3 linked regions of the Canis lupus familiaris genome follow. The protein of the gene in region 3 purifies or fractionates together with the protein of the main gene of each other region. This does not show direct contact. Links are inferred from orthologs where the notes say so. Each region holds a gene or a part of one and is shown on either strand. Other genes may lie near its edges.

Region 1 (3,268 bases), on a different chromosome or scaffold from region 3:
GGAGAAGGCCCCGCGGCCCCCTCCCCCACAAGGACGGTCGGGAGGTGCTCTCTTCAAATGCCCTTGTAGGGGGCTGGCCAAGGCCAAGGGCTCCTGGGCGGGGCTGGCAGCCAGGACAAGAGACGGACAGAGTCCAGCGCTTTCTCAGAGCCCCAGGCCCACTGAGGCCAGGCCCAGGCTCTCCTCCAGGCCAGGGCCCAGGGGCTGCAGGCCTGGGCATGGGCTCTGGGGGTTTCCTTCCCTCCCCTACACCCAGACGTGGAGGTTCACAGGAGCAGCCACGCGCTGGAGGGACTGCCTGGCACGTTCCTCCTGCAGGCACTGGGCCAGGGCCGCTCTTCCCCGGGGTGGGGAGCACAGCAGCCCAGCAGCCCGGCGCCTGCCTCCAGGGTCTCCCGCCCAGGGCAGCTGCTGTTGCTGCTGCTGCCCAGGCCCCAGGGGACCCCACGGGTGGGCCAAGCTGCTGAGTCATCAGCACAGACTAGAGCCATGGGGGGCCTTAGCGTGGGAACCAAGGGCTCTCACATGCGGAGGGGACGGTCTCCCCACGGGGCCACCCTCAGGGCCCTTAGCAGCAAGACCCCTTTCCCCAAAGAGTTCACACTGGTCACCACACAGAGCCAAAAAGGGTCCAGTCACTTCATTTTTACTACTTCACATTTTCAGCAAATAAAGGTGCAAACAGGGTTTATTTCACATTAATATATTAACTGTTTTTTTTTTTTTTTTTTTTTGTCAAATAAATAGGGAATTCTCTTTTAAATAACCATCTCCTCCCTTCTCGGCCAGTCCAGAAGCAAATGAAAGCAAATTTTAATGCATCCAGGGGGCATATCACCAATTATGCATGAAGCTTAAATGGACAAGGGCAGGGGGAGGGGCTGGTGAGGAGGTCACGGACAGCACACACAGGCTCAGGCCAGGCCCCAGGGGTCAGCACCCAGCAGCCCCAACACGGCATGATGGAATGAACATGCATTCTCCAGTTCCAGTCTGAGAAGCCCCTTCTAGAGGGAGAAGAGAGAAGGCCAAGGGAAACAAAAACCAAAAATGGAGGGAAGCAGTGGGCTCCCTCCCCATCACAGCAGTCTGGCCGGATGCCGCCCACCTTTCAGAAGCTCAAGTTAAAGCTCCAAAAGCCAAAGTGGTGGCAACAGAGGACCAAGGACAGAACAGGGAGGAGAAGGTGAGTGTGACCGGGCTGGAAGCTGGCTGGGATTGGAATGTGGGCCAAGAGCCCGGTGAGAACGTGGCCTTCCACAGGTAGGTACAGACCAGAGTGGAGGGAAGGTGAGAGGGGCCCGGCAGGGCCCCCAGGAAGACACAAGGCTGGTCTGAGGGAGTTCACAAGGCTGAGTATAAAGTGGATTCCAAAACGAGGGAGCTGGACTGCGGTAGAGGAGGTGGCCAGAGAGTCCCTCTGTGGGCAGAAGCTACTAGAGCAGGACAGGAACGAGGTGGATGCCCGCGCTCCTGAGCAGAACCCCGGAGATGGTGAGAGGGGAGCGCATCCGAGCGGCACCCTGGGCTCTGAGCTTGAAAAGCGGGAGGCATGGCTCCCAAGTCAAGGGGTGCCCCCCCTTCCCTCAACACCAGTCTCTGGGAAGTATTTTATAATCAGACCTGGAGGAAGAACAGGGCCCCTTCCATCACCCTCCTAGCCCCAGTGTCAGCCCCCAGGAGAAGGGAAGGGGAGAGTGATGAGGGGTGGGAGGCAGGGGCAGGAGGGGTCTACTGCGTCTTCTTATCTTCTGGGGGGTAGTAGGGAGGTGGCGGAGGCTGGTTCTGAGGGAGGAAGGAAAAAAAATCCCATTAGAAGGTTCACGACAAGACAAGGTCTCCCTGCCCCAAACCCTTGAGAGCTGTCGGCCCGCCCCCGGCCCGGCTCACCGTGGGCATGTAGACATTGTGTGGGTTGCCCGGGTTGTAATAGGCGCTGGCAGCCGCTTCTGCAGCCTTGGCTTCAGCTGTGAGAGCAAACACACTCCGGGTGAGCCCCAGCGACAAGCCCTCCCCTCTTCCAGTTGCCCCCGGAGGCGGTGCTACTGGGTCCCTTCCAGTCCCTTTACCCACTTCTCCCCACCTGATCCTCCGCACAATCCCACCATGTGGTACTGCCACTATCTGATCGTGGATGATGAGATGACAGAGGGAGATCTTCTCCGCCCCAGGGCCCACAGCTAGCGGCGGGGGGAGGGGTGGGGGGAAGGACGACTGGAATCTAGATCTTCACCAGCAGCCACCACACTGCCAATCCCCTGGACTAGACCAAGCCCAGGGGTCATTCACCATTCAGGGCTCCTGGCCAATCTCTAGCCGTTTGCTGAGCTCTCCATGCAGCCATGGAGAGGAGAGAGCTGGCCCCCCAGGACTGCTAGCAGCCCAGGGTCTCACCTGCTGGAGTGGAGGGGACATCAGGGCCGCTGACTGGAGGCTCCATGGGCCCAGGGTAGGGCGGCGGTGGAGGCTGCACATATCCCATGGCCCCATCCATCATGGGAGGTCCTGGATAGAACTCTGCTCCACAAGAGAGTGATAGAGACCCAGTGAGCAACCTAGCCCCCAGCTCCCTCAGCTGGCACCTCCCGGGCCTCTCCAGCTCCTCCATTTGTCCTGAAGCAGCTCAAAGAACAAGTCTCCCCTCTACAACCCCCTGGCCTGGCCGGGGGAGGGGTAGGGGTAGGGGTGATTAGTGGGAGGGGGGTAAAGGGGGTGGGCAGCAAAGGACACACTCACCAGGTGGGGGCGGTGGATAGGGGTAGCCAGGAGGGCAGGGGTACATTCCATTGGCGACTGGCGGGGGAAAGACATAGGCCCCGCTGGGCGTGTAAGAATACCCATAGGCTCCATTGGGGGCTTCACCTCGGGAGGCTATAAGTACAAGGGGAGAGAGAAGTGAGTGTCGTCTACCGAGGGGAGCTGCAGGGTCCCGGGAATGTGCACAGCAGACATGCCTTACTCCGTCCCATTCCATTCCCCACCCACGCTTGAGCCAGCCTCTTGAACAGAGAGGAAGTGAGGGATCTGGATGGGGACAGAGGTCAGAGCCAGGGTAGGGTAGGGTAGGGCCAGGGCAGAGGAGGACAGATAGACAGAGAGAAAGAGGGGGGCTCAGGGACGGGGGACTAGAAGGAGCTGGAGTAAGGCTGGGGACAACGTGAGGATGTCTGCTGAACACACCCCTTGGTGATTTAAACTGCCTAATGGTTGCTTAACGGTTGGGTTTCTTGTTTGTTTTTATAAGGCCACAGTAAAACGTCTCGGAGTC
Region 2 (3,751 bases), on a different chromosome or scaffold from region 3:
TGGAGACCTGGGATGGAGTCCCACATCGGGCTCCCTGCATGGAGCCTGCTTCTCCCTCTGCCTGTGTCTCTGCCTCTCTCTCTCTCTCTCTCTCTCTGTGTGTCTCTCATGAATAAATAAATAAAATCTTAAAAAAAAAAAGTAAGTAAGTAAAACTGGATGGAACTGGAGGGTGTTTTGCTGAGTGAAATAAGTCAACCCGAGGACAATCATCATGTGGTTTCACTCATGTGTGGAATATAAGAAATGGTGAAAGGGACCATAAGGGAAGGGAGGCGGGAAACTGAGTGGGGAAAAGTTAGAGAGGGAGACCATGAGGGACTCCTAACTCTGGGAACCAAAGGGTTGCAGAGAGGGAGGTGGGTGAGGAGGCTCGGGTAACTGGATGATGGGCACTAAGGAGGGCATGGGATGAGCACTGAGTGCTATACTATATGTTGGTAAATTGAATTGAATTGAAATTTAAAAAGAGAAAAGAAAAAACTGAGCAGCCATCGGTTACTTGGCTTCATCACTTCTGCTCCGCGTGACCCTGGGGCAAGCTAATTAACCTCCCTGGGCCTTGGTTTCCTCATTTAAACTCAGGGATGATAACAGAATTCCCTGGGAGGATGACTTGGGAGGACTGCCTGGGATGACGAGGCGAGGAGCGGGTGGTGGCACACCGTGCACCCTGCGTAAATTCGGGGATGCCCATTACTACCTTTTTCCAGAAATGTTGGACAGAGCGCCTGCCCGCGGGTGATTCAAGTAGTTCGGTGGCTCCAATTAACCGGAAGATTCTCAACCCAGATTCACACTTCCTGTGGAGACAGGCCCTAAAAGAGCTGGCAAAGGTGTTTGTAAACAATAACAGGGCAATTCAAGGGTGGCCGCTGGCGGTGAGAGCAGTGGGGGTTCGGAGACTCGAGCCGGACCGAGGTAGAGTCCAAGCAAGCCGGGCGGGTGTGGACATCTTGACAGTCCTCCTCCCCTTGCACACACACACACACACACACACACACACACACACACACGGGGCCCCTCTCCCTGCAGCAAAGCCCAGAACCCCTTGGGGACCCGCGACTGCCCATCTCCGGGTGTCGTTTCGCGGATGGGCTGAAGGAGTGGGTGCAAGGTGGAGGTGGGGACGGGTCGGGGGGGGGGGTGGCAATGGCCGAGGGCATGAATCCGTCCCCAGCAGCCCCGGGGGCCCACGGCGGTGGCGTGGGGAGGCCGCGGAGGGAGGCGCCGCGCGTCCCGGGGACCGAGCTCCGGGACCGAGCTCCGGGGCGCGCGGCACCGCCTCCCGGGAGGAAGGCGGGGGCCGGGAGGAGGGCGGGGAGGAGGCGGAGGGCGGCGGAGGGCGGAGGAGGGCGGCGCGCTGCGAGGTTATTTGTGGTTCGCTTTGATCCCGAGGGGGAACCTGAAACTCTCACATTCCTGGCATAGCAGCCGCCTCCGGCGCGGGCCGAGCCTGGAGCTGCGCGCCGGGGCCCGGGCGGCCAGAGCGTCGGCGCCGCCGCCGAGTGCACACCGCCACCGCCGCCGCCACCGAGCCGGGCGAGCCGCGCCGGGCCGACCACGCCGAGCACCCGCGGGCCGCAGCGGTAAGGACGGCCGCCCGGCGCCTCGGGGAGCGCGGCCCGGGAGCCACGGTGCAGCCGGAGCCCCCGCGCAGCCCGCCCTTCCCGGGAGCGGGAGCGGGAGCGGGAGCCGGAGCCCGGCGCGGCGCGGCGAGCGACCCCGGGTGCGGGGCGCCCTTGCGAGGAAGCGCAGAGGCGGCCCGGGGCCGTCCCGAGCTCTGGGCGGCCCGCGGGCCCCCTGGGGCGGGGGGAGGGGGCAGCCTTTGCGGGGAGCGGGGGCTTATGCTTCGGGTCGTGGGCTGGGCAGAGGGGCGCCGCTGCGGGTTCAAGGTGCGGGCCCTGGGGCCGATCCGGTTGGGGGCAGATCACAGGTGTCCTTGCCCCCAACCCGTCCAAGAATTCCTCTTTGTCTTCCTTGGAAAATCCTCTCTGGAGCCTCGGAACGGCTCTCACTTAGAAAGAATGCGGCCGGCCGGCCAGCCCGGTGACGTCAGCGCTGGAGCATTCGGAAAACAAAGAGGGCTCGGGAGGCCGGGAGGGAGGCGGACCCGCGACGCTTAAAGACCTTGCTGGGCCACCGGCCCCCGCCCCCCCCCCCCCCCCCCGCGCGCTCCGGGTGCTCGCGGTCGGCCGGGAGCCCGGGCAGGGCGGCATCCCTGCTGCGGTGCACGCCTCCTTAGAGACCCTCGCGTGGGTTCCGTAGGCGAGGCCGAGCCCCGGCGCGAGCCGGAGTGGTTTGCTTACCGGGGAGGGGGCGCTGGTTTTCAGGAAGCCGGGGTGCGCCGGTGCAGCGAAGGTGCATGGCCGGGTCGCGGTCACAGATTTTAGTAACGGCTCAGCCGAAAGAATGTGCATCTGAGGGGTCTGACGGGGACAAACGCGGCACAGGGGCCCCGGAGGTGCTCCCGGCTCCCAGGCTCACGGCTGCGGGGGGGACACGAGGAGCCCGTCCCGAAAGCTCTGCACGCCACCCCCCCCCCCTTCTCCCCACCCTGCTCCCCACCGTCATTCTCGGCTGGAGAGTCAGCCCAGACTGATTACTTTAGGAAATGCCCCGCGGAGGAAACTCTAGGGCGAATTGATTGCAGTTTGTTTTGCCTCTGGTAACTCTGGAGTCTTGCATCTCCACGCCTCCGGGGTGTAGGGAGAGGGGGCGGCCGATTGGGTGCCAAGAAGGATGGGCACAGAGATGCCTTCCAGACTCCTCTCCCTCTCCTCATTTCTGGGCAGCCTGGAGGGAGGAGTAGATTGGCACTGGCTGCTCTGCCAACCTACCAAACCTTAAAGGCAGCAGGGCAATGGGGCTAGTTTTGTGGCCGAGAAGGGACCACATTCTTCCCACTGACCTCCCCCCATACATAAGACCTGTGGGGATAGGGGTTTTGTTTGGTTTTCCCTGAATCTAGTTAGGAGTTTTGTGTGGGAGGAGGCTGTGGAAGGAAGCTGGGTGAGGCAGGCAGCCTCGGGACATGAGCCACTGAGAGCCCAAGCTCAGAGGGCAATACCTTCCTCAGGAGATACTCCCTGCTCTTGAAGCTTCCAGCAGCCCACCCCCGCCCCAGACTCCGGTCCCTGCAACCAAGAGCTTCTCCCTCGCTCCCCTACTCCTCCAGTTAGCTCAGATAAGTGTTACCGATGGCAAAATGCTGAGTGCCCACCCTCTATGTGGCAGAGGGCCATCGGGGTCTTTTCCAAGTAGCAAGTGTACGTGTGTAGGAGGGACAGTCCTAAAGTCAAAGACACGGTGCCGCCCTTTGTTTTTCCTGGAGCACCCATGCAGTTGCTGTCAGCACACAGACTATGACTGACCCACAAACCTTGACGGGTGGCATCTTTTTCACCTCATTTCACAAAACCATCGTCCTGTTGTAGCTTCTCCTTTGATCCCTTATTATTTGCCAAACCCGATGCATTTTTGTCCTTCCTGTTCACCTTGCAGAGTGACCGTCAAGGTCATCCCGTGACAGAGAGGGCCCAGCATGGTAAAGGTGGTAGAGGGTGGTGAGTTACCCGTGCCAAGCCTAGGGCTCAGGCATGCTACATTCTAGAGGGAGCTAGGGGCTGTCTGCCTAGGGCTTCTACTAGGCTGGACTCCTTCTTTATCACCTGCCAATGAACTGGGGCCCTGTCTACCCCTAGACTGGCCTGCTCAGTGGTTGTAGCTGAACTACTCCTGCCCTGGAGTC
Region 3 (2,472 bases):
ATCATGATTATCTCTATTTCTTTGCTAAACTCAACTACTGATATACATTAATTAATCTGATCACTTTACCAGCTAACTTATACCCTCGGCAGTATTCTATATATACTTCCAGGGTCAATTCTCGGCATACAGAAGTAGGAGCAAGTCTCCATGTATGTTATGAACCTACTTAGTGATTTCCCAACAAGGTTCAAAATTAGTCCATGGGAGTGTCAAGGGAAAATAAAGCTGTATCTTGTTTGCTTCTTTCAAATTCATCAGACAATATTGTGTGCCCAGAGTGCATATAGTACTCCTCCAGACACTATGCTTTCTAGAATAACTACCTCTAATGTCTGCAGACTGTCTCAATCAGATTTACACTACCGTGAGATATAAACTACTAGTCACATATTCTAAATACATACATTCAAAACTACCATTTTAAAATAAATTGGAAAGTATGGAAACCTTAAAAAAAGATACATTCTGCTATCACACTATTATAAACCTTATAAGTGTGTGTGGGGGTATATATATAGAGAGAGCAGATAATCAAGATTTAAATAAGATGGTAAAAAATTAGGAAATGTAGATTTTACCAAAGGAACTACAATAACTGCACCAAGCAACAACTATAAACAGATTGGCTACTATGGTAATTTGTCTCGGTTCTGGGGGAAAAACAAAAACAAAAAAAAGCACAACCCAACCAATCAAAACAAAATAAAACGAACAAAAAAAACCAAACCCACAATAAAACCCACCAAAACCTATACTACAGTATGTGGCAATAATTAATATATTTCTATGGAAACTGTCTCATGCCTCAGAAGCTCCTAAAATAAAATCAAGGTCACTCTGTGACTAATGCTAGCAGTGTGAGGGAAAGCAGAACAGTCTTCAGCCTTGGTTTCAGCTAGCTCATCACATCAGCATTAAGGACTCAACATCCATACAACATTTTTGGCTTGGCAGACCAGTAAGTCATGTTTCTCCACTGGCCAAAGGCAGCTGAAGAAACAATTGCCTGAACAAACTAAACGCTGTGACATGAAGCATTTGACTTCCAAGTCTGAGGATTTAGTTAAAATGATCGGTCAACACCTAACTGGGCAAAAGGAATGGCATCCATCATCCAAACAGGCTCACTTCCCCCAGCCCCCAAAACGAACAGTAGTTATAATAGCAAAAGAAACAAAAAAAAGTTTTTTTTTTTTTTTTTTTTTTTTGATTCTTTAGAGCCAACTATGAAAGAGGTCAGCAACATATTAACAGCAGCAATGGACACGAAGAGCAAAATAGTGGATGAAAGAATCTTGCTGGACGTCTGTTCATCTTTTTCGGTGTCAGCCAGAAGACTACGACTGGCTTACTTGGAAATTTCGAGCATACACGTCTCATCTCCTTAGATCCTTCACAGATTTGGAATTCGGTCTACCTGAGGGCTCTATAACCATGTGAGAAAGCTTTCTTTATCCAGCTTGGTGGCAGCCAGCACGGACTCCATGTCGTTAAGGATGTCAGAGCTCAGAGCTTCCTGCAGACTTGGCATCAACTCCTCTCCTTCTATGTTCATCCCATCTCCCTCCAGCGTTCCGAGGTCCACATTTGTCCCAGGAATGGCTTCTAGGTAGTCTGGGAAACGGTTCTGCTGGGAGGGCAGGGTGCTTTGGTTGATAGTATCACCTAGTTGGGATGGAGAAAAGCAGACATCAGAGCTCCATTAGGTGAGCATCCAGAAATGAATGGAGACCGACCTCCTGCGCCAACTCCCACAGTTTACTTTAGGTTAAACAGCTCGCAGAAAACAAAATACCAAGTTTACTTCTGTTTTAACATGTGCACAGATGCTGAAGCAACAGCTCAATGTTTTATTACTAAGTGCTCAGCACCAAAAGGCCTCACAAGAAAAAATAAAAATCCCTCAAAAACTTATGGACAGCAAGGGAGAGAGAACAAGAATGCCACACAAGAGTGTCACTGCAGACTCTCCAGGTCAAACTATATGGTAGATAAAATATAGAAATGATGCTCACAGACGCCTCTTTCTTTACCTGGCACACGGGGGAACTGTAAAAGAAGGAAAAAGGACTAGATGAAAACTGCCTTCTGCTCTGGGAAAGTCACACTCCTAATGGCAAACCAGTTTCCTGAGTCCTTGTATATACAGAATCTCTCTAGCTTTCCTTCTAGAGGTGCCTGGTTTATCTGGCCTGGAAGCCTTTCTTGAACATAACGTTAACATTCCTTAGAGCTTCCAGGAACATGGACACTGCCCACTGAGAGCTCCAGGGTTCTGGAGAATGGAGACGTTGGGGAGAGGACAAGGAAAAAAGCATGATGGGCAAGAGACAGTCTCAGAGGCACCGGAATATGGTGATCTCAGATTCAGGGAAATGAAGAGGAGGGGTGGTGAGCACTGGAGGACACACCAAGGCCACAAGCAGGATGAGTACAGGCAGAAAAGATGCGCCAAACACTCTGAGGAGC

Evidence for each region.
Region 1: the proteins of YAP1 (region 3) and WBP2 purify together in Homo sapiens (affinity purification with mass spectrometry; 7 studies listed by BioGRID and IntAct, with this or other methods). This does not show direct contact. The link is inferred for Canis lupus familiaris from reciprocal best matches to the Homo sapiens genes YAP1 and WBP2.
Region 2: the proteins of YAP1 (region 3) and AMOTL2 purify together in Homo sapiens (affinity purification with mass spectrometry; 10 studies listed by BioGRID and IntAct, with this or other methods). This does not show direct contact. The link is inferred for Canis lupus familiaris from reciprocal best matches to the Homo sapiens genes YAP1 and AMOTL2.

What each region holds. Positions count from the first base shown.
Region 1 is NC_049230.1:5,630,340-5,633,607, reverse strand, and holds the end of WBP2 (WW domain-binding protein 2), read right to left. Parts: intron 2,872-3,268; coding exon 2,737-2,871; intron 2,518-2,736; coding exon 2,395-2,517; intron 1,968-2,394; coding exon 1,891-1,967; intron 1,786-1,890; coding exon 1,732-1,785; 3' UTR 631-1,731; downstream 1-630. UniProt on the Homo sapiens protein: Acts as a transcriptional coactivator of estrogen and progesterone receptors (ESR1 and PGR) upon hormone activation. In presence of estrogen, binds to ESR1-responsive promoters. Synergizes with YAP1 to enhance PGR activity.
Region 2 is NC_049244.1:31,681,997-31,685,747, reverse strand, and holds the start of AMOTL2 (angiomotin-like protein 2), read left to right. Parts: upstream 1-1,462; 5' UTR 1,463-1,589; intron 1,590-3,751. UniProt on the Homo sapiens protein: Regulates the translocation of phosphorylated SRC to peripheral cell-matrix adhesion sites. Required for proper architecture of actin filaments.
Region 3 is NC_049226.1:29,535,147-29,537,618, forward strand, and holds part of YAP1 (transcriptional coactivator YAP1), read right to left. Parts: intron 1,669-2,472; coding exon 1,430-1,668; 3' UTR 1-1,429. UniProt on the Homo sapiens protein: Transcriptional regulator with dual roles as a coactivator and corepressor. Critical downstream regulatory target in the Hippo signaling pathway, crucial for organ size control and tumor suppression by restricting proliferation and promoting apoptosis.